Schizosaccharomyces pombe: one gene and its partners. Changing the gene in region 1 together with any one later gene gives a genetic interaction. Each region holds a gene or a part of one and is shown on either strand. Other genes may lie near its edges.

Region 1 (10,728 bases):
ACCATGGCTGATGTGATTGCCGGTGTTGAGTGGACTGTTCGTCATCACAAATCGTCCGGCAAGAAAACCTCTGTTGGCAACATGTCTCTTGGTGGCGGCAACAGCTTTGTTTTGGATATGGCTGTTGATTCTGCCGTTACCAACGGTGTTATTTATGCCGTTGCTGCTGGAAATGAGTATGATGACGCTTGCTATTCATCTCCTGCTGCTTCTAAGAAAGCCATCACCGTTGGCGCTTCCACTATAAACGACCAAATGGCCTACTTCTCTAACTATGGTAGCTGTGTTGACATCTTCGCTCCTGGACTTAACATTTTGTCTACATGGATCGGTTCAAATACTAGTACTAACACCATCTCTGGTACTTCTATGGCAACCCCTCATGTTGCAGGTTTGTCCGCTTACTACCTTGGCCTACACCCTGCTGCCAGCGCTAGCGAAGTTAAAGATGCTATCATTAAGATGGGTATTCACGATGTACTCTTGTCTATTCCTGTTGGTAGCAGCACTATTAACCTTCTCGCTTTCAATGGTGCTCAAGAATAGATTTTACTTCATGTTGGATGCATTCGATGTTTTCAATAAGTCGGTGTTTGATTTTCAATACATCGAGTAATTGTTTTATTTTTTTGAAAACGTTTGCTCCTTTTATGATTGTTCTTTACAAACAGTTTATAATGATTGTTATGACAATAAATATTTTATAATGCAAGCCACTGAATCACGTTTAGAATTTTTATACTTGAATGAAATTTTTTTGTGATGTTCTTCCAACTTACAATGTTAAAGTGTAATTGTAAATGTCCTCTTCTTTTATTTGTATTTGTATTTATATTTGTGCCGCTGTTATGCAAGAGCTCTTCTACATTTAATATCGCCGCCTATCTCTTCATAGTTTTCTTTTACAATGTGATTGCTGCATATAACCATTGTACAAATAATAGGGGTAAAATAAAAAGTAAACCGAACTAAAATGCCTTTTACTTGACCGACTTACTTTTTTTTTTGAACTAAAGTATCCTTGTGGTTACTTGTTACGTTGACGCAGAGCATAATAATAGTAATAATAAAATAATTTTAAATTCATGAACTAATAATTTACATCATCTTAAAAAATACATGTCGAGTCTTTGGGAAGCTTGGCTACCTTAGAACGCTAGGCGAACGATTGGACCTCATGGATAATCTACTTTCACTTCTCTTTACTCTTTGACCCTCCAGCAAAGATCTATATTTATCAAAATCGGTTTCCAAACTTTTGACGCGTTCACGCTCTTCTTGAAGAGCATGTTCCGTCCGACGTAGTGCAAATTTCCATTGTGTTTCTGAAGCTTGCACATCTTCTAATTGATTTCTCAGTTGCGCATTTCTTTCCTCCAAACGAGAAACTGAGCTCTGTATTCTCTTTTTATCATCATCAAATTTTGATATTTGAGCTTCCAGTTGACGGATAGTCCTATCGCGATTGCGACATTCATCAATTCCTTTAATTCGTTCGATGTCGGAAGCAGCAAACGATGCTTCCAAATCTGATATTTGCTTTTGTAGCATTCGGACGTCCTTTGATGTTGATATGGGATAAGTTTTAAGATCTAAATCAAACAATTTGAGCTCCAAATCCTTTTTCTCCTTTTGTAAAACTCCGAGTTGACGATGCAGTTGAAGATTTTCTTCTCGATGATTATTACTATCTTTTTGAGTTTTTAGCGCAAACATTTCGATCTGTTTTATGCGTTCAACTAATGATGATAGTAAGTCATCTTTTTGAGCAAGGTTACTCTTGAGTGTTAATACCTCTTTCTCCATTTCAATTTCATCAAAAGGTCTTGCAGAACTATCGAATTTTTTGTTCAATTGCTCTGAAACTTCGTGAAGTTTTCGCTCAAGGTTTCGATTTTCTCTTAAAAGGGTATCTTGATCTTTTCTTAATGTCTGGTTTGCTTCTCGTACTTCTTGGAGTTGTGCAGTCAAAGAAAGAAGTTGGCTTTGGGCATTTTGTTGCGCTGTTGAGGAAGAATTATTGACACGAGAAAGAGATTGTAAGTCTGCTTGAAGTATTGAATTTTCTTTTAACAAATTTGTCTTTTCCAAAACTAATTCGTCAAATTTGGTACGGATATCACCAATTTCCGCATGCATGTGCCGATTATCTTGTCTAATGCGCAAGTTCTTCTCACGTTCTTCTTCCAACTGTACTTTGAAACCATTTAGCTCCTTTTGATAACGTTGAAAGAGTAGTTGATCCTTCTTTTCTCGTTCCTCGAGATCTTGAACACGAATGACATGAAACTCATCAATTTGTTTCATCAGTTTTTCTTTTTGCAGCAGCAAAGTATTATAATCGTTGCTCTTTTCAACGTAAAGAACTTCATACTCCTTTTGTTTCACGACAGCATCTGCCAGTTCGTTTTGCAGATCAGCATTTGTTGTTTGAAATCCGCGAGCGAGTTCTTCAACTTCCTGTAAACGCCCGGTAAGATAATTTTTAGACCTTTCAGCTTTAGAAAGTGAAGATTCTGCATGCTCATTGAGTGACTGGACCATCGCAAGCTGTTCGCGGTACTTGTTAACTGTAGAAGTAAGCTCCTTTATCTTCATTATATTAACTTCTTCTTGCAACCACTCGGTTTCTTCTTCTCCAGAATAATTAGTTATACTACCATCAAAATTGGGAATTATTAATTGAGAAGCAGTGGGAGCCTTTAAAGGAGATGTAGGAACAGAAGGTCCTTGCAACCCATGAAGCAAACGATCTCTTTCCTTGGTTATCTCTCTTAAAGCTTTTTCCGTTGAAAACAGCTTTTCTTCGCTTGCCGAATATAACTTTGCAATAGCTCGCTTCGATGATATTGCCTTTTCCACAAAACCTTTGATTTGGTTTCTAGTATTATTTGGAACATCTTCAAGTAATGGAGCAAAATCAAGCATTTTATCATCACTGCCTAAATTACTAGTAGTTAAGTTTTTAAGTTCCTCATTTTCTTTTAACAAAGATTGTATAAGTTCCGAAAATTTTGATAGATCTTTGTTATCTAAGATTCCAGACTTTGTAGCTTCCTTTAACTTCAAATTGATTTTTTCAAACTCTGTTTGAAGCACGGAATTCCGTTGATTAACGATAAAGGGATCAGGAATACTACTATTTTGATCAAAATTTCTAATCAGTGCTTCCATTTTGCCAGATCTCTTTGAAGGTGAGCCGGGTTGAGAAGAGGGTAAATTGCTGATTTTGCTTGGAGACAAAGGTTTCAGCCCAGTAAATTCCATATTAGATTCAGGATTATAAAGCTTTTTCTGCAATGATGATATTAAACCACTTTGAGCATCAGAATTAGGATTGCTTAATAGCTTCCGAGAATTCATGATAGCTTGAGTATCTTTAAAAATGTCCGGGGAAGGTCTGTCAGAATTTGATGCATTGAGACGTTCCTTTAATTCTGATAAAGTACTCAACCCTTTTTCAAGCTTCCTAATAGAGTTTGGTATGTGTCCCGAAATGTCAGTAAAAGATAAATCCTTAGAGAGGGAATACAGATTGCTAAGTTCTTCTTCAACGGTTAGTTGCAAAGCATCAAGGCTTTTACTAATTGTTTTCAATAATTTATTGTCAATTTTTCGATCATCGTTATTACCATCAATGCGTTTTAGAGGATCACCTGAATGTTTCTCTTCAAATGATGGATGTGGAGAATTTCCATCTAAAGTGTGTTGTGTAACTGACCGATTTTCTGTTTTTTGTTTTAATAGCCCAACTTTACACCTTTCCTTCTGAAGCTGATTCAGTAAATCTGAAATTTTATGTTCATAACGGCTTTTTATACCTTGGAAGTCTATGAAATCACTAGCATTCTTCTCCAAAACACCATTTGTATCTTTCAAATCCAGATTATCAGCATTTAAAGAGATAATTTCAGTTTCCTGATCCTGAATTTGGTATTTTAAGGCCTCAATTATATCACATAGTTCAGAATTTTTTCTACGAAGCTTTTCTTCAGTCGCTATACTTTGCTCAAGCATCTCACTTATCTCTTTAATCCGTTCAGATAACTGGTTTGCTTCTTTCGTATGTAATGATTTAAGCTCTTGAACATCCTTCAAAATTGAAAGCGTGGTCGAAGAAGTAGAATAAATATTCTCATCACTGTTTAAGGGGCCACTTTTTACATCATTAATGTTATGAGTTTTCTCAGGATTTTGAAAAGCTTTATGAAGTTGATCTCTGTATTCCGTGATTTCCTTCTGAAAGATAACTAACTCGGCTTCCTTCTTATTCAATTCACTTTCTGTTTCTGAGTATTTGGAAACAAGACTTGCTAATTGAGATTCGTAAGTACGACATTGGTCTTTTAAGCTTGCGTTTTCTTCCCTTAATTCTTGAACCTTTGTATCATAACTTCGTTGCTTTAATAGTAACTCATCATCAAGTCTCATGAGTTTCTCATTCAATTCGCGAATATTTAAATTCTTTTCGTTAATAGCCTTTTCAAGATTTGATAAATGCTGCGAACTATGTTGATAATCCGCCATGATATTCAGATAGTCTTTCTCAAGCTCTTTATATTTAGAAGAAATCGTTTGCTCGTCCTTCTTAATTGAAGACAGCTTTTTCTCCAATGTAGATGATAAATCGGAAAGATAAGAAATTTCTGTCTGTTTGTTGGCAAGGTCCTCCTCTATGCTTTGCTTCTCTGCATACAAAAACTCATATTTTTCATCAGCAATAGTTACTTGATTTTCCAAACTTGACAGTCTCTCATGAACAACTTCAACCCGGCTATTGGCTCTTTCTACCAAAATGTCCTTTTCATGTGCCAGAGCTTGTTCCTCTTGCAAATCGTTAGTCAATTGTAAGACTCGTTCTTTGGTAATAGTTAATTCGTTTGCAACTTCCTTGGTACTTTCCAATTGATTCTGTAAATTATTTATGAGTGCGTCTTTTCTTCTTAAATACTCATCAGTCTGGGTTGTTCCCAATAACGGTTTAAGATGCAGAAAAAGATTCCACCAAGGATGTGGCTTCAATAACTTCAACTGCCTCAAGTTATGCTGTAGAAGGATAGCTGCATCTTGCCTATGATTAAACCGGTAAAGTCTCCGTCTTGTCAAAAACCCACGAATGCGAGCTGAAAATGAATTAAATATCACCCGCAGTAAAGCGTTTCTGCGATCCTCTAAAGAACCCAAGACACTGGCTTTAAAAAATACCTTTGTTTCACCCAAACGGTATACGGTACTAGGTAATTTTAATTCATTGATGATCGTTATTGTTGCCTTTTTTGCTTCGACATATCCTCTCTTTAATGACTGCGAAAGAATCCCATAACGAGCTCTAAATTCTGTATAAAATAGTTTGTTTGGAAATCCAGTTTGAGCAATTCTAATACCCTCCAGTACACCGTTGCATCGAAGTTGATGAAGAACGAGAGATTTATCCAAATTGTGAGGCTGCTTCAAATTGTTTGGAATAATGCATCTGACAAAGTGAGGCTGAGTTGCTTCGAGTTGGTGCATAAGACTAGAAAGCTGTCTCCTATGACGCTGCGACACAGTACGAAAGATTCCTTTCTTTTCAATGTTATCTCGACCACTAGCATTTGACGAATAATCATCAAAAAGAGAAGACACATGACTGTTAGTAGATTTGAACATTAGTGCGGCAAGACATGCATTTAGAGGATCTTTGTTTTTCTCCAGCCAATCTTTGGTATCATATTCGACATCACCAGCATAATGTTTTAAAACAAAGCCTTCACTAGAAAACTTTTTAGGACGGTATATATCGGATTTACCCTTAAAAAGAAGGTGAAGTTTTTCTGTGAATGTAGCATCAGTAGCCATTGGCATAACACAATCCTCGTCGAGGCAAGAAAAAATACCAATGGGCTCAGATTTTTCGATAGCATCTATGGTGGGCTGCAAATCATTTCCGTAGTCAATAAAATCCCATTCGATGCGTTCTTGTGTATATTCTTCTTGTTCCAGAACGAACATGTAATGATTAAAGAATTGCTGAAGCTTTTCATTTGTAAAATTAATACAGAGTTGCTCAAAACTATTAAAAGTGAAAATTTCAAACCCAGCAATATCTAAAACCCCAATGAACCCATCATGTTCAGACTGAGAATAATACATAGTCTGATTCAGACGTTTCACTAAATGCGCAAAATTACGCTCATAAAGGCCTTTGGCTAAGGATTGTAGTGTATGGACTACTTGTTCACGTGTTCTTGCCGTCACAATCCATTCTCGTCCAGCTTTGGACTTTGGGTGTAAAGCTGCATTAACAAATCCATCAACAGGGATTTCGAGTAAATGGCATAATTGATCAATTTGCGTTAAGGAAGGAAATCTAGCTTGCCCCGAACGATCAGATGCTACTTCAATATTTCCTATATGAAGAATTGAAGCTATAATTAAGAACAAACTGTGAATTTCGTTATTATCAAACCCCAAAGTTCTGAGACCAAAGCATAATTTTTGAAATTCTTTGCCATCATCGACTCCATTAATATGCTTGAGACCATTTTTTAAATATGAGTAATGGTCAACATATCGATCAAGGAAAAGACTTTCAAGCAATGATCCATCAGCACCTCGAAGTAGTTGATAAAAGACGTGATAATTGCGTTCATTGGAGGAAGGATGTATAACGCGAGATTTTTCCAAAAGGTACCAGTCTAAATTCGCTCCAACGATGCTTCCATTATTAGAAAATTCAATTCGTATGAACTTGCCAAAGCGGGATGAGTTGTTATTCCGGACAGTCTGAGCATTCCCAAAAGCCTCCAACACAGGATTCGTTTCAAGGATTTTCTTCTCCAACTGTTGAGAATCGCTTGTGGAAGCATCAGTGACCGATGTTAGGTACTGAATAACCTTTTTAGTAGTTTCAGTTTTTCCAGCTCCTGATTCACCAGTAACTAAAATAGATTGATTGATCCTCCTTTCTAATAAACTTCGATATGCGGCATCAGCTGTTCCAAAAATATGGGGTTTAGTTTCTTTAAACTGTTTAGATTGGTATTTTCGCACAACATCATCGCCATAAATTGGTAAATGACAATAGGGGTTTACAGCAACGAGAAACAAGCCTGAATAGGTATATATTAAATCTTTCTCATAACGCTGAGTAAGGTTGTTAACTACTGATGGTTCGTTGAGACATGTCAACGCAGCCATGTCATCAACCATATCAAACTTCGGTGGATTTACTTTTTCAGCATCAAATCCATCCACAATTCTTTCCGAGCCATCTCTTTCTAATTTCACCCTATATTTTTCTCCTAAATCTTCAACTATCCAAGCTTTCACGAATGATTCCTTCGAATCAGGAATCCAGATCCATGTCCGTTCATCAAAAGACGCGTCTTTCACGGCATTGCAATGTTTTTCAGCATCTACTAGCTTTTTGATAATATTATTGTTGTCGTTAGAGCCATTTTTTGAAAGATACGACATTAAATTAAGAAGTATAACACATTGGCAATGCTGCAGCTGTATAAATCATGACTGCGCAGCAATGTAAATATTTATGAATGTTACTATGGCAACGAAATACAAATGGATTGTTTACAATACTATGTAAGAGAATACTTATAAATGGTTAAACAATAAATTATACCTGTTAAAATGTAGTAAGCCAGTCGTCTTTTGCCAGGATATTAGGCACGTATGTGGATATCCCTTAGTAATCTTCTGATAAAATAAATAAGTTGAAGTAAAGTGAATAACTAAAGAACTCAACTTCAACGAAAAAGGAAATCGAGAAGAGATAAAATAAAAGAATGAAAACAAGTCTCAGGCAATTATTGTTTTTTTTCGGGGCTAATTTTACAGTTAGCTACCAAGGCAGAAAGTGGAGGATTTTCCCCTTCCATCGTATACTCTTTGGGCTTGACTAAATACCCATTTAAATCGGCGTGTTTAAATTCAGCGAAGTACCGTGCTGGCTTTTTAGTGTCTTTACTGAGCAAGATTAATTCAACGTCAATCCAGCGAATGAGTGCTTTCACCTGTATAGTACCTAAAGCACTTTTCGGTAAATTTAAACATTGAATTTCATCTTTAGGCTCCATCAATCGTTCCTCACCATTTCGCGAAATTCTTAAACGAACCATATCTTCATTAGCATGAGACGGATTACCATCAAGGTGTTTATTAGGCGATACAAAAGACGAATCATGCTGCTTTAAACACCAATAAGCAAAATTAGCAGCACGTCGGACCATAATCCCAGCTTCTTTTACAAAAGGAAGAGCTGTAACGACATGACAACAATCATCGTACATTTCCAAACGAACCTTTGTACGCTTACCATTGTATACGTCTGTATTCATTTTGTGAGCGATGTACACTATTTCGTCTCGTAAGCGTTCGCCCGATCCACCCAGAACAAGTGACGGCGGTAAACCACCAAGGTTTTCAGTGAAGATAGGACTGATCAGAGGATGCTTTAAATTTGCATTAGAGGTATAAAACTGTACTTGAAAAGGAAATGTAGTCAAAATGTTAGGGTCTAAACGAGAGTCCACATTGTCAAAATCAATACGTGCATGTTCTTTATCCATCTCTTGCAACACGGGGATCAAATTTTTGATGGTCTGAATTTTTTTACGTATGCTGTTTTCAATAAAGTTAGTCAATTCTTGTTTCTTGGAATAATTTAGTAATTCCTTTTCGGATATCGTTGAGAAAGAATCTAAGTTAGTAATGGGCCAATATCTGCTGGCTCGGTGATGAAATCCTTCGCTTGGAATATAGTCAGCAGCATCATCTGCAACTACAGAAGGAAGACTATGAGTCAAATCAACCCAAGGGGAATCATAAACTACTCCAGCAGGTAAGGGTAATTTTGAATCTCTAATCAAAACTAGTGATGCAACGATTAAACCAGCACCTGAGCTATCGCCCATAAATATTATATTTTCTGGCTTGGTGCTTTTAAGTAGATACAAATAAGATGAAAGTACATCATGCAAAGAGCAAGGAAAGGGAAATTGCGGTGCTAACCGCAGATCTGGAGCAAAGGTTCTAGCACCCAGAGCTGCAGTATGACGCTGAATATGATAAGCATTAGTACGAACAGTACTTAAATAATGAGCACCTCCATGAACATAAAAAATAACTTTATCACATTTGAGATTGTGCCTTATATGATGTCGCCTTTCAATCCACCAGGATTTTAAAGGTGACTTTCGATAAAGCCACCAGTTTGAGCCCCCAAATTGTTTAATGCCTTCTGGTCCCAAATAGTTTCGAATGTAAGAAGCAGAATCTGATTCTGACTTTGAATCTATAGGTTGTGATGTAAATTTAAACTTAAACTCATCCGTTAAGCTCCTTGAGCAAAAATCTTGAACAACTTCTACTTTATAATCCCTGCTATCAATTAAAAATTTTTTTAAAATCGACACTCCCAAATCAAGCATGAAAGTTCTATTCTTGCGTAACTCATGATGAGCCAGGAAACGGAATGCTTGACTAAACGTTTTAGATATTCCATCATTAATTGATTCGACAGTTAACTGCTCCTTTTTCAGCATTGTCTAAAAAATAACGGTTTTTTAGCAAAAAATCGCATAGATTTATTTTTTAACTCTATTAGAAGGATAATGATACAAAAGTATTAAAAAGAACAAAAAATGCTGCCAAAGAGAAGCATAACATTTAAAAGAGACGTTGTATTTATATTAATTCATAAATGCTGCAACTCTTGGCCTTACTACAGAGTAATGCTCTCGCGATTGTTAGTTTTATACTATGCAAAAAATGCTTCGGCCTTCAGTAAAACTCACTAAATTGTTTTTGACGAGCTTTACAACTAAGATGGGTATGTTTACATTATTTAGCTGTAAGTTAAATTTACTTATTTTTTTTGTTTCCAATAGTTTGACTGGTAAGTATTCATCATATTTTAATATCTATATATGCAGATTATCTATGCCCACCAGAACAAAACGCATTATACGAGGTATAAATTTGAAACACAATAAACTGGCGCTGGACACGAGTAACTTCTTCTAATGCACTTCATAATATTATGAGTATCATCATATGAATAGGAGTTTTTAAGCCTGTTTTATTATCCGTCGTATAAGCAATGTAATGAAGACATAAATGTTTAATAAACAAATTCTGATAACGTATAATTGACTACCTCTAATTCGACTATTGAACAATTAAAACCTGAAGTACAAAATGATTAGTGATAAATCCAGTGCATCGCAACACCACTAAACGTGCTAACGAACAGGAATAGAAGTGTACTTCTTCAGTCTACGATAACGTTTTGTAATTTCCTAATTTGCAAATTAGGATGGGCGAAAGTACAAAGAAAAAGAATACTTAATGCTCTTGCTTTTGTTCGGAATCTTTCTAAATGTCGTATATAAATTCGGAGGAAAAGAACTCTTAGTTCGCTGTTTATTAAATACAATTAAACGAAATTAAAACAAGTCTAAAATTATAGAGCCTAAGCGTGGCTTAATTACAGAAAACTAATTAATTAATGAAAACCCCAATAAGTTGGACAAATTGAAAAAAAAAAAAAAACCACTCGCTGTTGCTTATATATCCAACAATTGAAACCCTGCAACAGGAGATAAAGTAGTTCCTAATTTTGGAGCCACGCGACATTCAAATGGTTCCAATGGGTAACTTTCACCATCTAAAGCAAAATAATGACGCTTTCCCGTATTAACAGGAGTAAATCGAAAAGAACGAACTTTG
Region 2 (5,952 bases), on another chromosome or scaffold:
ATGAGTTGCTCGGTAAAATCTACTTGTGTTTTATGGTTTAACTCGACGTTTTGGGAGTATACGTGTTTAAACATATCATTGGATACGCTGTTTTGAAGTTCGAGAGAATTTACAGGAAGTTCAAATAATGGCACATTCAATGGATTTCTCTCATTTCCAATATTTAACTCTTTACAACATACCAATTCCCATTTGCGGTCGCGTAAATCTAACAAACAATCTGAACTTGATCTAGGACTTAGTTTTAGCTGCAACGGTTAGTAACCGAATGATGCTCATTTAATAATTACTATAAGAAGCATATCTGCAATTAAAAAATCATTTTCGTTCCAGTATAGTTTAATATTGGCCAAGTTTTTCATAGTATTGGTTACAAGTAAATAGTGCTGAGGATAAAAACGGTCAGAGCATTTATATAACACGCTAACACGTAGGGTGTGTTACTCAACAATTCGTGACAAGTAAAATCAATCTAATCATCATTTATCCATTCTAATAAATTAAATTTATGTTTCTTCTGTTATGTTTATGGTATTTGCTTTTTTATAAGACTCAAAGGTACGTATATTTATAATAAACTAATTCTGTACAACTTAAACAATGTTTAACCGCCCACCTCCAGATTATAACATACAGGCTATCTAAAGCATCAAGGAAGGTTTGCTCGAAAATGCCAGTATAGTAGCTTTGACTGATAATTTATTATGACTCAGAGTATTTCTACAATGTTTTACCGTTATTCGCTAAAAAACTTGTTATCAAAACTTATAAACTAAATTAATTCGATTATTGAAGCCCTACGATTGCTGTGTTATAACACACATCAGTCAACCAAATGGCTGCTAATGAAACTAAACAGCGAATATCATGACTTCTAAACATTGTTCCTCTTTCCTATGTAAATTGTATCAGTTATCCTATCAAGCTCTTATTGATGAGACCTGATTGTATTATTTATCTTCGCAGTGAAAGCTTAGTGCACTCACAGATGTGTTTATAAGATAGTGAGTTAGACGGACATCTAGCAAATATTTTATAATACGCTATAATATGTTATACTTCGTTTCTTCATAAAAAGCAGTCACGTCTGGTTTTTGATGAAACTTCTGAATTAAACTGATTTTTTCCAACCACAAAAGCATACTAACAGCTTCAATGGCAGCAGCTCGTCCCACAGTTAGTATTTACAGCAAAGACGGCAGTGTCTCTTCTGAGACTATTGCTTTGCCTTTTGTTTTCAAAGCCCCTATCAGACCTGATTTGGTTCGCTCCGTTCATACCGCTGTTGCCAAGAACAAGCGTCAACCTTACGCTGTTTCTGAAAAGGCCGGTCATCAAACTTCCGCCGAGTCTTGGGGTACTGGTCGTGCCCTTGCTCGTATTCCTCGTGTTGGTGGTGGTGGTACCCATCGTTCCGGTCAAGCTGCTTTTGGTAATATGTGTCGTAGCGGTCGTATGTTCGCTCCAACCAAGACCTGGCGCAAGTGGCACGTTAAGGTCAATCAGAACGAAAAGCGTTATGCTATTTCTTCTGCCGTTGCTGCCTCTGGTGTCCCTTCTCTCCTTTTGGCTCGTGGTCACCGTATTGAGGAGATTCCTGAGGTCCCTTTGGTTGTCGACGATGCTGTCCAATCTTTCCAAAAGACCAAGGAGGCTGTTGCCCTTTTGAAGGAGATTAAGGCTTACCGCGATGTTGTCAAGGTTGCCAACTCTCGCAAGCTTCGTGCTGGAAAGGGTAAGCTTCGTAACCGCCGTCATGTTCAACGTCGCGGTCCTCTTGTTGTTTTCAACGAAGATGCTGGTATTGTTAAGGCTTTCCGTAACATTCCTGGTGTTGAAATTGTCAACGTTCGTCGTTTGAACTTACTTCAACTTGCTCCTGGTGGACATTTGGGTCGTTTTGTTATCTGGACCAAGTCTGCTTTCGGTCTCCTTGACAGTGTCTTTGGAAGCACTACTGAGGCTGCTCAACTCAAGAAAAACTATTTCCTCCCTGAGAACATCATCTCTAATGCCGATGTTACTCGTCTCATCAACTCTGATGAAATTCAAAGCATTGTCAAGGCCGCTGGTCCTTCTCGAGTCAAGCGTGCTCATGTCCAAAAGAAGAACCCTCTTAAGAACAAGGCTGTTTTGGCTCGTCTTAACCCTTATGCTAAGGCTTACAAGGCCAATGTCAAATTAAACACTGGAAAGACCCCCAAGGCAGCTGGTGAAAAATTCTTGACCGTCCTTCATGAAAACTAAGCATGTTGCCTACCTCTCTTTATTATTAGTTTGGAGATAGATAGCGGTAATATAAGTTTTGAAGATAGTGTTTTTTAAAATTGTTATATTTGTCGATTTGTAGTAGCAATTTATGTAACATAGTAGTAGCTCATTAGACTACTAGTATATGGGTAAGGTATGTTCCTTAATTTCTTTTTATTCTAGAATGTTTGATATTCTACAATCTACATGTAAATAGGAGATGAGTAATTTTTGAAACACCTTTTAAAATTGTTATTCCTTCTATTACTTGTTATTCGTTAAATGTCGTTCTGGATAAGGTCTGATGGAGTTGTAACATAATTAATCAAAAGCATCTTCAATCGAACAATAATCTGCAAAGAGCTTCTCTAATTCAGAGATCTTTTTCGAAGTTAATTTTTCAACGGATGTTGATACATCTTCTGAATCATGTCTTGTAAATGTTAGCAGAGAATCAAATATGTGGGTATAATTTTTAGTTGCATTGGTCAACGAGACGCGATGTGCTCTGCTGGTATCAATTAAAGAGCTGTGATTCTTTGCAATACGATCAGAATCATTTTGAAAATCATTGAGCAAAGAAGCACTTTGAAGAAGTTGTTCGGCAATCAAAGAACGACAGTCTTTGGTTTCAGAGATCATGTCCTGCAATATTTCAGGATTGTTTTGCGATCGTAAAACATTAACATTTGTTTGCAATTGCTGAGCTGACAACTTTGCTAACTCTAATTTTGAAGACGCCGAACGGTGCTGCTTTTCCATTTCTTTCACCTTTTTATGGTATGAAAGCAGCGATTCCTCTAGCTTCCTACTTTGTTCCCGCAGCTGTATTTTTTTATTGGCAGTTAAGTCACCCGACGCATTAAATGAATTTAAAAAGGTGTCTTCTTTTTCATTTTCTGCCTTCAGCTCCTTAGTCTTTGAACGCAAGTCGTTTATAGCATATACTAACTGCAAGTTGATTTGCTCCTCTTTATGCAGTTGAGACCTTTTTTTTTCTAGCTCTTTTAACTGATTTTCAGTTTCTTCCTTAAGATTTTGAAGTACCAAGCTGGTTTGTTTGTTCATGACAGGCAATACGGATATATGACTTTCCTCGTCGTTCATTACTCAAGTATTTTCAGTTTTTTTATATAGAGTTCTAAGAGCTGATGGTTTTCTACTAAAATTACAATAGAGGGGAAAAGGATTGAAATGTAAATTATAGCAGTTGTATGCAGAAGGGAAAACGATATTCTACCCTTCAAGATGCCATAGATGTTTCAGTGTATTTTCGTAACAGTTTTTAATAGTTGTCGAAGTGGATTTTTATTTGATTTTATTAATACTACTAGGCATATTCCAATGTGAAAGGTGAACTAAATCGTATAAAAGTTGGCAACTTTTAAGTAAGATAAGTGAAAATGAAATTTTTGCGAATTTAATTATTGATACATTTTCTTAAATTACAATTAAATTTAAAATTATTGAATCCTGCTATACGTGTAATCTTTACTATTATTCTTGGTTTAAATCAAAATTGTTTTTAACCTTCTTACAGAGTAAACAATATTCATAATTATAAACCCAAATGCGTTAACATTCTGACGCTGATAAAGAAAACTGAATAGAATATAATTTTTAATTTAGCTTTTATCATGAAAATCACTGTAACAAATTTATTAAATTTAAAGCCAAATTTACCTAATTACCGATTTATTACTTTTAAAATTTATTTCTTTTTTAAAAAGAAATAAATTAAAAAAAAAAAAAAAAAAAGAAAAAGGAAGAAGAAATGTACTTCTGAGAAGACCAATTAATTGCATTTTACTTTTTTATTACATTTTATTTTTCAGATTTATCAATAAATTTCCTAACTTTACTATAAATTCAGTTAGGGTACTTAAGCCAAAGAAAATTTGATTGCGATATATCACTTAACTACGAGAAAGCTAGTTGAAAAAAAGCTACACTACGGATACGTCTTCACCTCAAGAAGCTATATTGTATTAATGTTTAATTAAATATTCGTTCTCCTTATGTTGAAATGTCGGTAGAAAGAATTAAACGTGCGCCTGCTTTTCGCAAAGGTATAATTATTCGAAGAAAAACACACCTGATTGCTATGATTCGACGCATGAGAAAGAAGCTTGATATTGAGTACGTAAAATGAACTTCTTGCGAGTCATATGCTAACAACAGGCTTAGTGGATCTATATTATACCAAGCTACCGGCATGGCAATACCTCATTTGGTTGAGTTAAGCGATAAGTATAAACGCCAAGGATATAATATCTCTATGGATACAGCTACAGTCGAATTTATGGATGAGATTGTTGATGAAGTATGCGGATTTTAACATTGCGAGCAAAAAAGAATTTACATGAATGTATTGTTACTAACATAGCTGTAGGTATCTATTCAGAACAAAAACCGTTTGGGAAACGTATTACTTCTCCGAGTATCTCGTTAGAATAACTGTGTTCCTAAGGCTTTACATACTCTATTACTGATGGCTATTTCACTGTACAACTTTTGTATTTTCAAATTTTTTTGATAATTGTTTGACTGTCCTTGTTTATTTGCAACAATACCTGTACTAAAAAATAACACGATGTGTATATACTCTACAACAAGGTTTCAATTACTTATCCTATAATCAGTAAGGAGAACAGTCACAAAGGTTCGTGTTACATTTGCAATTGGTATAAATCTAATTTGTGGTTAAACCAAACCGAAGTTATGACGAGCGACAGAAATAACACTTATAGTATTTCAAATATCATTTGCTCCCTTGTGAGAAAGTTCTCAATAGAAAAGTTGTTTAGCATCCACTAGATCAAAGTCATTTCAACGGAGGACGTTGATAGTTATTCTAGTTTTTTGATGAATGCAAATGTAGATGTTAATTTACAAACTCAGAAAAAAATTTGAATGTTACGTAGCTAGGTATTAAAGCTGGATAGCGTCAAATTTTTTGCAAAAAAAACAAAACAAAAATTAGAGGACTGAACAGACAGCAACGGCAATAAATTATGCAACATAAAAATAATGAATTTAGCAAATTTTATGAATCAAACAAATGGTAGCAGCTAATTTGACACAGTAGAGAAAAGTGTGTACGAGCTTTCAACGTGAAAACGCATCATTTCGTTACAAATTTTTTTGCGACAAAGGTCGAGACAATTGATTCAGTGGATGGGGAGGTCAACGAACGAAATGCGAATCGCCGTAGATCTATCACATAAAGAAATATTCTCATAAATCCCAAACACAGAACAGGTATACCTTTAGTTTGCCAGGGTAATCTGACTAAGTAGTGAAAGGTTGCATCATTTCATCACCAAGGTTCAAATGAGTAAGTGAAAATTTCAAACGTAGAAGAATGCACAATAGGCAAGAGAAAATTTGAAAGTGGAGAAATCCAGCAAAGGCCTGGATTAATGTTAGTCCCGTCGACAAATATTGTTCAAAAAGAATGAGTAAATATATCACAGCTCTTTTCAGACGCCATACCTCGCCAACATGATATAGAATCCTAGCATTAAATGTTATATTAGTTATTTTTAGAAGATTCCAGGAGAATCAACATGTCTGATGGATTATGGTTGTCATTTTTTGCAGGAAAACTGTCCTTTGATTGATGGCCTTTTCGGGTCTAAACATCGGGTGCAAATTGCTAAAATAACCGAGGTATTATAACCTAAGGTCTAAAAAATCTTT
Region 3 (8,589 bases), on another chromosome or scaffold:
GATTGACTTTATCATTCCTGTATATCATTAGTAAATTTCCTTGTCTCATACAAACATAATCTCTCCCTTCTTTCCTCTCTTCTCTCTCATTCTCATCTTACCAGAAAAGTGTCTTGCTACCGTCTCCCCATGGATACTTTTTGAAGCGCAAATTTTCAAAGCTAAACCATTCATTAGTCCCTTCCTTTCATTTCTTCTCTATCTTCTTCATACCTATAACCAGGGTCCGTATCTTCAACATGCTTGGCATGCTCTTGATGCTTGCAATCTATCTCTTGTTAGTCGTTGCAAATCTTCACATTACACTTTTACGTACAAATATAATACGCATTGGCACTAGCCAATATCAATGCTGGTCCACCAATGCTGGCAAATGTTAGCTACCACACAAATTCTTCACTTCCTCATGTTCATACTAATAAGTCACTTTCTTCCAGAATTCTATAAACCCGTTAGTAAGATAAATTTCTATTCCCACAATTCACATACCACTGCTACGCTTTGCATGCTCCTCTTCTGCTTGAACCTCTTCAAGCCAGTTCACCTTTGCTTCGTTACTATAAGCTCGAAAGCTGAGCAAACCCGCTCTCTTAGGAACGCTCGTCTTCAATGTTCTGGATAGGAAGCCAATGTTACGATTCATCATGCTCATTACACTAACAAATTCGCTTTTTTACGATGTTTTCAAGGAGATGGGAGTTGTTGCTTGTGAACATTCTGCTCCTCCCGTACCTTCGTAATTCTACCCATATACTGTAGTAACGCACCGTGTGCATTCTTCTACCTCGGTACAAATTTACCTTAGCAATGTTTAGCGTTCAGTTGCGTAGCGTACCGTACTACTGAAGTGTGGCGCAAAGGGGGAATGAAGTCAAACAACGTTTAACTCAACCACAACCAACAACAAAAACCTCATCATATCTCACCACCAAAAATCGCCTTTCCGCCAAATACATAAAAGCGACTTCAAGGACAAATTATTTCTTTTTTCCATATTAGGAATTGGTAATTTAAACACTTTTAGTCGAATTGAGAGCCTTTTCGTTCATTGCTACGTACCAAATTGCCCTTTCTCAACTTCTGCCTTCCCCTCGGATTTCATCTCTTTTTTGATCGTTTCTCGCTGTAGAGGAACAAAAAGGAAATCTTTAAATCCTAACCGTGCAAAGTTGAACTTTGTTGGTAGCTAGCAAAAGCTCAAAAACTACTCTCTCAAATCACCCTCCAAAGCTTTTCCGCTTTTTTTTAAAAAATGCGGATTCGTAGTGCTACTCCTTCCCTTATCTTACTGGTTATCGCCATTGTCTTTTTCGTCTTAGCTATATGTACTCCTCCTCTTGCAAACAATCTTACTTTAGGAAAGTATGGAGACGTTAGATTTGGCGTTTTCGGTTACTGCTTAAATTCAAATTGCAGCAAGCCTTTAGTTGGTTACAACTCGGATTACCTTGATGAACATGCAAAGGACGGATTTCGTACCTCCGTTATTGTGCGTCAAAGAGCTTCCTACGGCTTGGTGATTGTTCCCGTGTCTGCCTGCATCTGTCTCATATCCACCATTATGACTATATTCGCCCACATTGGTGCCATTGCCCGCTCTCCCGGCTTCTTCAATGTCATTGGAACCATAACATTCTTTAACATTTTTATCACCGCCATTGCTTTCGTTATCTGTGTCATCACTTTTGTCCCCCATATTCAATGGCCGTCATGGCTTGTGCTCGCCAATGTCGGCATTCAACTCATCGTCTTGCTTTTACTCCTTGTTGCACGCAGACAAGCCACAAGGTTACAGGCCAAGCATCTTCGTCGCGCCACCTCTGGCAGCTTGGGTTACAATCCGTACTCTTTGCAAAACAGCAGCAATATCTTTTCTACTTCTTCTCGCAAGGGAGACCTTCCCAAATTCAGCGATTATTCTGCCGAAAAGCCTATGTACGATACCATTTCCGAGGATGATGGTCTCAAGCGTGGAGGCTCTGTCTCAAAATTGAAGCCTACTTTTAGCAACGATAGTCGTTCTCTGTCTTCCTATGCCCCAACTGTTCGTGAGCCCGTTCCCGTTCCGAAATCTAACTCGGGCTTCCGCTTTCCGTTTATGCGCAATAAGCCTGCAGAACAGGCTCCTGAAAATCCGTTTAGAGATCCTGAAAATCCCTTTAAAGATCCCGCTTCAGCTCCAGCTCCAAATCCATGGTCGATTAATGATGTTCAAGCCAATAACGACAAGAAGCCCAGCAGATTTTCATGGGGCCGCTCGTAAATTATCGACCAATCGAGTTTTATCTATCATTTATCATCTCTACATGTTTTCTAATTTCACTTTCAAAGCATTTTTTAACCGTCCCCCCTTTACCTTTTTCCTTTATTTAGTTGATACTTATATGGTACATATGTGTGTGTTTAATGTCACTGTTTCTCAATAGAATTTATCTGTTTTAAGCTAGTTGAATGTAAGAAGAGTTGGAGGGGTTTTCTTTTATTTTTTATTCTTTCAATAGGGTTCTTTTTCTTTTTTTTTAATATATATATATTTTTAGACGACCTTCACGTTTCATTATGCTTATTCATTTTGTATGTGCCATCCAGAAATCGAATTATTATTTACACTATGGTAATGGCGAGTATTATGGTGTATTATGTATTGTGATTATTAACCTTTACACAACAGCGAAACAATCTTGCTATTTGAAAGGTAAAAATGTTTCAAGCTATATCTTCACAAGTCATACTAGTTGGATGATTTGGTGAATGCAGCGCGAGATGATTGTGAAACATCAGATCCATCCAACCATTCTAAGTGTGGACATGCCAATAAAATAGCTTCAGCATACATTTTTCTTCTTGTTCTCCATGCCTCAGACAAAGTGGAACTAAAGGCCAGCTCTTTCTCCTGCCATTGCTTTTGCGGGTCTTCTTTTCTATGATGACCTTTTTGGTTGATACTTTGTTGGTATTTTGAGGCTGCAGAGAGCTCATAAATAGAGTCGTCAATTACGGGATAAATGTTGAAATTAAGAGGATTCATGCGCAGATCCAGTACGTTTAACTGTTTCAGGTTTGCCAATATATCACATAAATTTCGCATCTTTTTGATTCTATTTCCCACTAAGTAAAGTCGGTGGATCATTTGCAATGGTTTCAGCGACTCTATGTCTGATATATAGTTATGTGATAAGTCCAATACACGTAAATTGGGCATACTGGTCGCAATGTATTTAGGTACTTCTTTGAGCTGAACGTTTGCAAGCTCCAGATACCTCACTCCCAGAAACATGTGCTTACAATCAAGAGTAACGAAGGTGTTATTCGATAGGTATAGATTTCGAATATCTAAAGAGGGTTGAATGACAAAATTGGAGGCTTCAGGATCTTGAGTCCTGAACGAAAAATTGACTAAGCGTTTTAGTCGACGGATGTCAGGGGGACGATTAAATCGATTAAGGTCCATGTATAAAGTTCGTAAATGAGGAAATTGATCTACCTCAAGTTGATGTATGGCGTTGTTGCTGATGCGTAAAATTCGCAAATGAATCATTGGTTGGCTAGCTTTCAAGTTGGTTAGTTTGTTATTGTCCAATTGTAAAACCATAAGGTTTTGAAGCGAACTTATTTCTTCGATTTCTTCTATTTCGTTATTTCCCAAGAGCAATTCCTCAAGACGATGAAGATTGGAATTCGTAAATGACAATTCTTTAATCCTGTTATTGCAAGCGCTTAATTTTAGCAATCCATCCAAATGTTGAATCCCATCTAAACTCCATAGATGATTACTGTCAACTTTCAACTCACGAAGGTGAATTAGAGAAGAAAGACCAGTAAGGTCCTCTAGTTGATTATATGATATGTCCAGATATTGTAGGTTTAATAGGTTGGAAAATGAAGTCAAACTTGACAATCGATTTTCAACAGCATTCAGGTCTCTTATCGTAACGGGGCATCCTGTTAAGTAAGCAATTTCATTTCCTTCCAACGTGAGCTCTTCAATAGAGGGACAGAGTTCAGAAAGTCCAATCAAGGAATCCAAATGTCGTCTACTGATGTCTAATTGTATAATCCTTTTCCAGAAAGGCTCATATGGTTCAACATCAGAAAGAATTTGAATTATGGATTGACGAGATACTGAAAAACTATATTCAGCATCTTTGTCGGCTTTACTTTTCAATCCAGAACCTGAAGAAATAAAAGGAATTGGTGACCCATTTTCATACCTGCCATTAAACATTTCATCAAAGCTCTCATTTTGTAAGGATAAATCGTGAAAGGAAGATAAAATTTGCGGAGCGTTTTCGCTATTGTCTCTTAATGAATGCTTAGGAAATTCGGATTGAGCAACATTTTGCTTACGCAAAGGAAAGGAATGAGGTTGTTGCTTCTCCAAATTGTTTGGATCATTGTTCGCTTGATGTCTGGTGGATGCCGCTTTAAACAGTATTGTACGCTCAGGATGCGAAAGACTAGCATCTTCGTCGGTTTCAAAATCAAAGCCCAAGTCTGAATCATGACCTTTTCTCCGCCACCGATTGTGTATCCTGTCAAATTCCATGGAGCCTTGAGTTGTATCTATGCCTTCAGGAAGATCTGCTGGCGTTATAACCACCATATTGGGATAATCAGACACTTTTCTTGAGCTTTGAGCAGAGTGACTTCTTCTGGTTTTAACACTGGAAGTTTTTAGCGTTGATTTGGGAGAGCTATTTAATCGGGCAGTCTTGGAAGAGGATTGTGAAGAGCCAACATCAATTTCCCGAAGTGGCATTTTATCGGTCATATATGCCTGGCGTTGAGGGGAGGAAGATGCGGATGGAAAGGAATCATCATTATCATTGAAAATTGAGGTAACCCTTTTCATACTTTGAAGACTTTTTAAATGAAGTTGATCACTTAAGGAGGGAAATGCATTAGAGCTATCTTCTTGACTTACTTCAACTGAAATTTCATCTTGTTCCTCCTCCTCACGAAGTCCGCTGAGCTTTCGAGGAAGAAAAATTGTAGATTCTCGTCCCGAATTAGGCATTCTTCCTCGCAATCTTGCCATGACTTCTTCAACCTCTTGATAGAGATCTTTGGTATTGAGGCTAGCCTTTCGTTCAGTTGTACGCATAGGTTTTTGTGGTCTTCGTGGTTCAGGGAGTGAAAATTGTTTTTCCCCATTTTCAAATGAATTGGACTTTACATCTTGAGTTAATTGATTCAAATGCTCACGAGTAAACGGATCACTAGCTCCTTGGAAAAGTTTAAGGGGGGATGTATTATTGGGCTTCAAGGAGGGAGAAGAAACAACGGATGAGGATGACGATGCATTGCTAGCATGGTCCGTATTTTGCTTTTCGTGAACCGAGTTAGACCTGGTATTAGATTGTTGACTTTTCAAGCTTCCTTCTGAGTATTTTTTGCTAAACTGAGAAGAGGAGATAGATTCTTTTTCGTAATCCTGTGAAACGAAAGGATCTTTAGAAGGAGAAGATTGCATGTTCGATACATTAGATAGTTTACCAACTGAAGAAGAACTACGCCTAGAAGAGTTATTACTGGACTTTTTGGACGGATTTTTTGTTGGAGACTTTGAAGGGGGGCTTTGTTTGCTGCTTTCTTCAAACATATTTTCCAAATCCAACCTTGCAAAAATATCACGAGCAACAGGGTTCTTTGCATTCACCTGTTTCCATTGAGGAACATCCGGAGCATCATTTCTTCCTTTCTTAAACGTTCCATGCTCTGTCGAAGTTCCTGAACTACCACGACCTGTAGATTGAGTATTGTTTACATTTGATGTGGTTGGTGGTTCACTAGAATTGTCTGACCCTTGTTCTTGTGGCTGCGGAATCCATTCTTCACTTAAATCATGTTCAAGCCATAACTGTTCCATGATTTCTGAAAAGCACACATACCTTCCATAGAAAAAAGAAGTTTTGTTTACGTCTATGAGACGCGACGGGATGTCGTGGTACTGGGACTCAATCACCCTTTTGCACAATTTGACATAGGATATTCAAGCGTATTCGTAATGCTGCTTATCATATTTTACGATATTTTCCACAATAAGGGTATAGCGTTATTTTGTTTGTTACGTTGAATTCCAGTAAATTTATTTATTCAGAAGGAAAATTATGGCCATAAGTATTTGAGGAAAAAATCAAAGCTATAAGTAGTTCTAAGAGTTGATAAACTTGTGCATGAGAGATTCACTTTATTCTGTTAACTCGGAAGACTCGATAAAAAACAATTAATAGCAATTGCTTCGGTAACCTTCTCTGTACGATTTTTCTTTTGCCTACGGTTTCGCATACTTGACGACGGAGATGCCATTTATATCAACAAGATATCATATATTCTTCATGACTTTGAAAGCTCTTTAGTAAGCAAGTTTTTCACAAGTTGGATCTACGCTTGCAACAATCTTCGAACTGATCCTAAATTCGCTTACTATATTTAAAGGTTATGGAAACGACACTTTTATTGTCGTTCTACAGACAACGTTTCTCGTTATGCTACTCTCTCATCTTCGCCTCATGACCTAGACTTTCAATCGTTTAAAACTCTACAAGTATTTATAATTTAAAGCAATCCCACCTCGGTAATTTAAGAAAATTTGCAACAAAATTTGACGTTAGCAATAAGGATAAAATGTGTTCGACGACATCCCAATTTAATCAGCGGACTATATAAATTTGTATATAAAAGGTCATTTCCACATGTAGACTTTTTCATACGACTTTTGAATGTACCAAACATCCATATCTGATAAAGACTTGGTACGCCGTTAATCGTTACAATACGTTAAACACCCCTCTTAAGTATTCAACGTACTAACTTACGTACTCTCCGCAAACAACATATTTAATTAGGAAGCCAATTTCTAAATAGGAAAGTATTGAGAAATAACTGTGTTTAATAATCTAGAAGAGATCCTTGAATAATTTGTGCTACAACGATGTTTGACTTGGATGAATGGATCGCTACAGTAAGGAAGTGTAAATATCTTCCAGAACACCAGTTGAAACGATTGTGTGAGATGGTAAAAGTTATTTTAATGGAGGAGTCCAATATCCAGCCTGTGCGGACTCCCGTTACTGTTTGTGGTGATATACATGGTCAGTTTTACGACCTTTTGGAACTGTTTCGAGTAGGTGGAGAATTGCCAAGCACAAATTATATATTTATGGGTGATTTTGTGGATCGAGGTTATTTTAGCTTAGAAACTTTTACGTTATTTATGCTTTTGAAAGCAAGGTACCCAGATAAAATTACATTGCTTCGTGGTAATCACGAAAGTCGCCAGATCACTCAAGTCTACGGGTTTTATGATGAGTGTCAAACCAAATATGGAAATGCAAATGTTTGGAAATATTGTTGCCAAGTTTTTGATTTTTTGACTTTGGCAGCGGTTATCGATAACAAAATTTTATGCGTGCATGGTGGATTATCTCCGGAAGTTCGCACATTGGATCAGATTCGTATTCTTGCGCGTGCTCAAGAAATTCCCCATGAAGGCTCATTTTGCGATTTGATGTGGTCTGATCCAGAGGATATTGAATCTTGGACTGTTTCGCCTCGGGGAGCTGGATGGTTGTTTGGTTCTAAAGTTACTACCGAATTTAGTCAAATCAACGACTTGACATTGATTGCTCGTGCTCATCAACTTGTTCAAGAGGGCTACAAATATCATTTTGCCGATAAAAATCTTGTTACCGTTTGGAGTGCTCCCAATTACTGCTATAGATGTGGAAATGTGGCAAGTGTTATGAAAGTAGATGAATCTTTGGAACCGGAATTTCGTATTTTCTCGGCTGTTGCCGACGAAGATCGTACCGTTCCCCCTAGCAGAAAAAGAAGCGAGTATTTCATCTAACTTTGGTATGTGCAAGTCAAATATCTTGTTTTTTATGGCACACATATACCCCCTCAAACATGTAATAGTTTTTGTTTTTTAAAACGTAGCTTTTTTTACTTCCTTGTCCGACACTTTCTTTCTCTCTTCCAGTTCTCAACTTCCATATTTTTATTTCCGTTTGCTTTGCGCGTGAGGTATATTCTATTTTTCCTTGGCAGCTTGTTACGCAAAACGATATTATAAGTTACATGGGTTTGTTTTTTAATCTTTTTTTCCTAGCTATTTTCAGTCGCTATAGTTTAGATTGTTTCCCTTCAAAAAAGCGACTTGGTGTTTGCAATTTTATTTCACCTCACATTGTGATGATATTCCCTTAACCTTTTTTTCGCAATAGCATTGACTTGCGTTACCACACTGTTCCAGCAACATAAAGTTACTTAGTGCCCAAAAATTCTTAATGATCCCTTCTCCATAATTTTTGTTTCCATTACTACGCGTCCATAAAGCCAATAATCGCATGTTGCAGTGCTTGCCTTGTCACTCTTTTGTCAAGAACGTTATACATAATTCCTCTCGGGTTTGCGTCGAGCTTGCTTTAATTGGGGTTTCTTGGCATCTAGTACGATGATATGTATATCATGATTTTTCTCAGTTTTGTCAGTTAAGATTAAGCAAGCAAGGGTGATTTTTGATAATCAATTTCTTATATATAAGTTTAGTATGCATTATTATATCTGTACAGTTCTTTGGACAAA

Evidence for each region. A genetic interaction does not mean that the proteins touch.
Region 2: mutations in myp2 (region 1) and rng9 impair growth when combined (synthetic growth defect), as found in Schizosaccharomyces pombe (2 studies listed by BioGRID, with this or other methods).
Region 3: mutations in myp2 (region 1) and cdc11 are lethal when combined (synthetic lethality), as found in Schizosaccharomyces pombe (2 studies listed by BioGRID, with this or other methods).

The regions. Positions count from the first base shown.
Region 1 is NC_003424.3:2,546,208-2,556,935, forward strand, and holds myp2 (Myo3-like myosin II heavy chain myp2), read right to left. Parts: upstream 7,497-10,728; 5' UTR 7,459-7,496; coding exon 1,144-7,458; 3' UTR 1,053-1,143; downstream 1-1,052. Other genes in the region: vacuolar serine protease Isp6, read left to right, coding at 1-546; SPOM_SPAC4A8.06C (esterase/lipase), read right to left, coding at 7,806-9,542; lcb4 (sphinganine kinase), read right to left, coding at 10,566-10,728. UniProt on the Schizosaccharomyces pombe protein: Stabilizes the F-actin cables forming the F-actin ring that surrounds the nucleus during interphase. May work in conjunction with myo2.
Region 2 is NC_003423.3:3,632,850-3,638,801, reverse strand, and holds rng9 (protein Rng9), read right to left. Parts: upstream 3,469-5,952; 5' UTR 3,358-3,468; coding exon 2,572-3,357; 3' UTR 2,447-2,571; downstream 1-2,446. Other genes in the region: protein mug45, read right to left, coding at 1-248, 291-362; rpl402 (60S ribosomal protein uL4), read left to right, coding at 1,156-2,247; Rnase P/MRP subunit Pop7, read left to right, coding at 4,277-4,389, 4,438-4,573, 4,643-4,702.
Region 3 is NC_003421.2:2,046,684-2,055,272, forward strand, and holds cdc11 (SIN component scaffold protein cdc11), read right to left. Parts: upstream 5,921-8,589; 5' UTR 5,870-5,920; coding exon 2,732-5,869; 3' UTR 2,447-2,731; downstream 1-2,446. Other genes in the region: cox13 (cytochrome c oxidase subunit VIa), read right to left, coding at 1-17, 102-161, 214-268, 317-366, 417-441, 490-652; protein mug33, read left to right, coding at 1,253-2,263; serine/threonine protein phosphatase PP6 catalytic subunit Ppe1, read left to right, coding at 6,935-7,852. UniProt on the Schizosaccharomyces pombe protein: Essential for the onset of septum formation. Involved in the organization of astral microtubules during mitosis. Acts as a bridge between sid4 and the other SIN proteins mediating their association with the spindle pole body (SPB).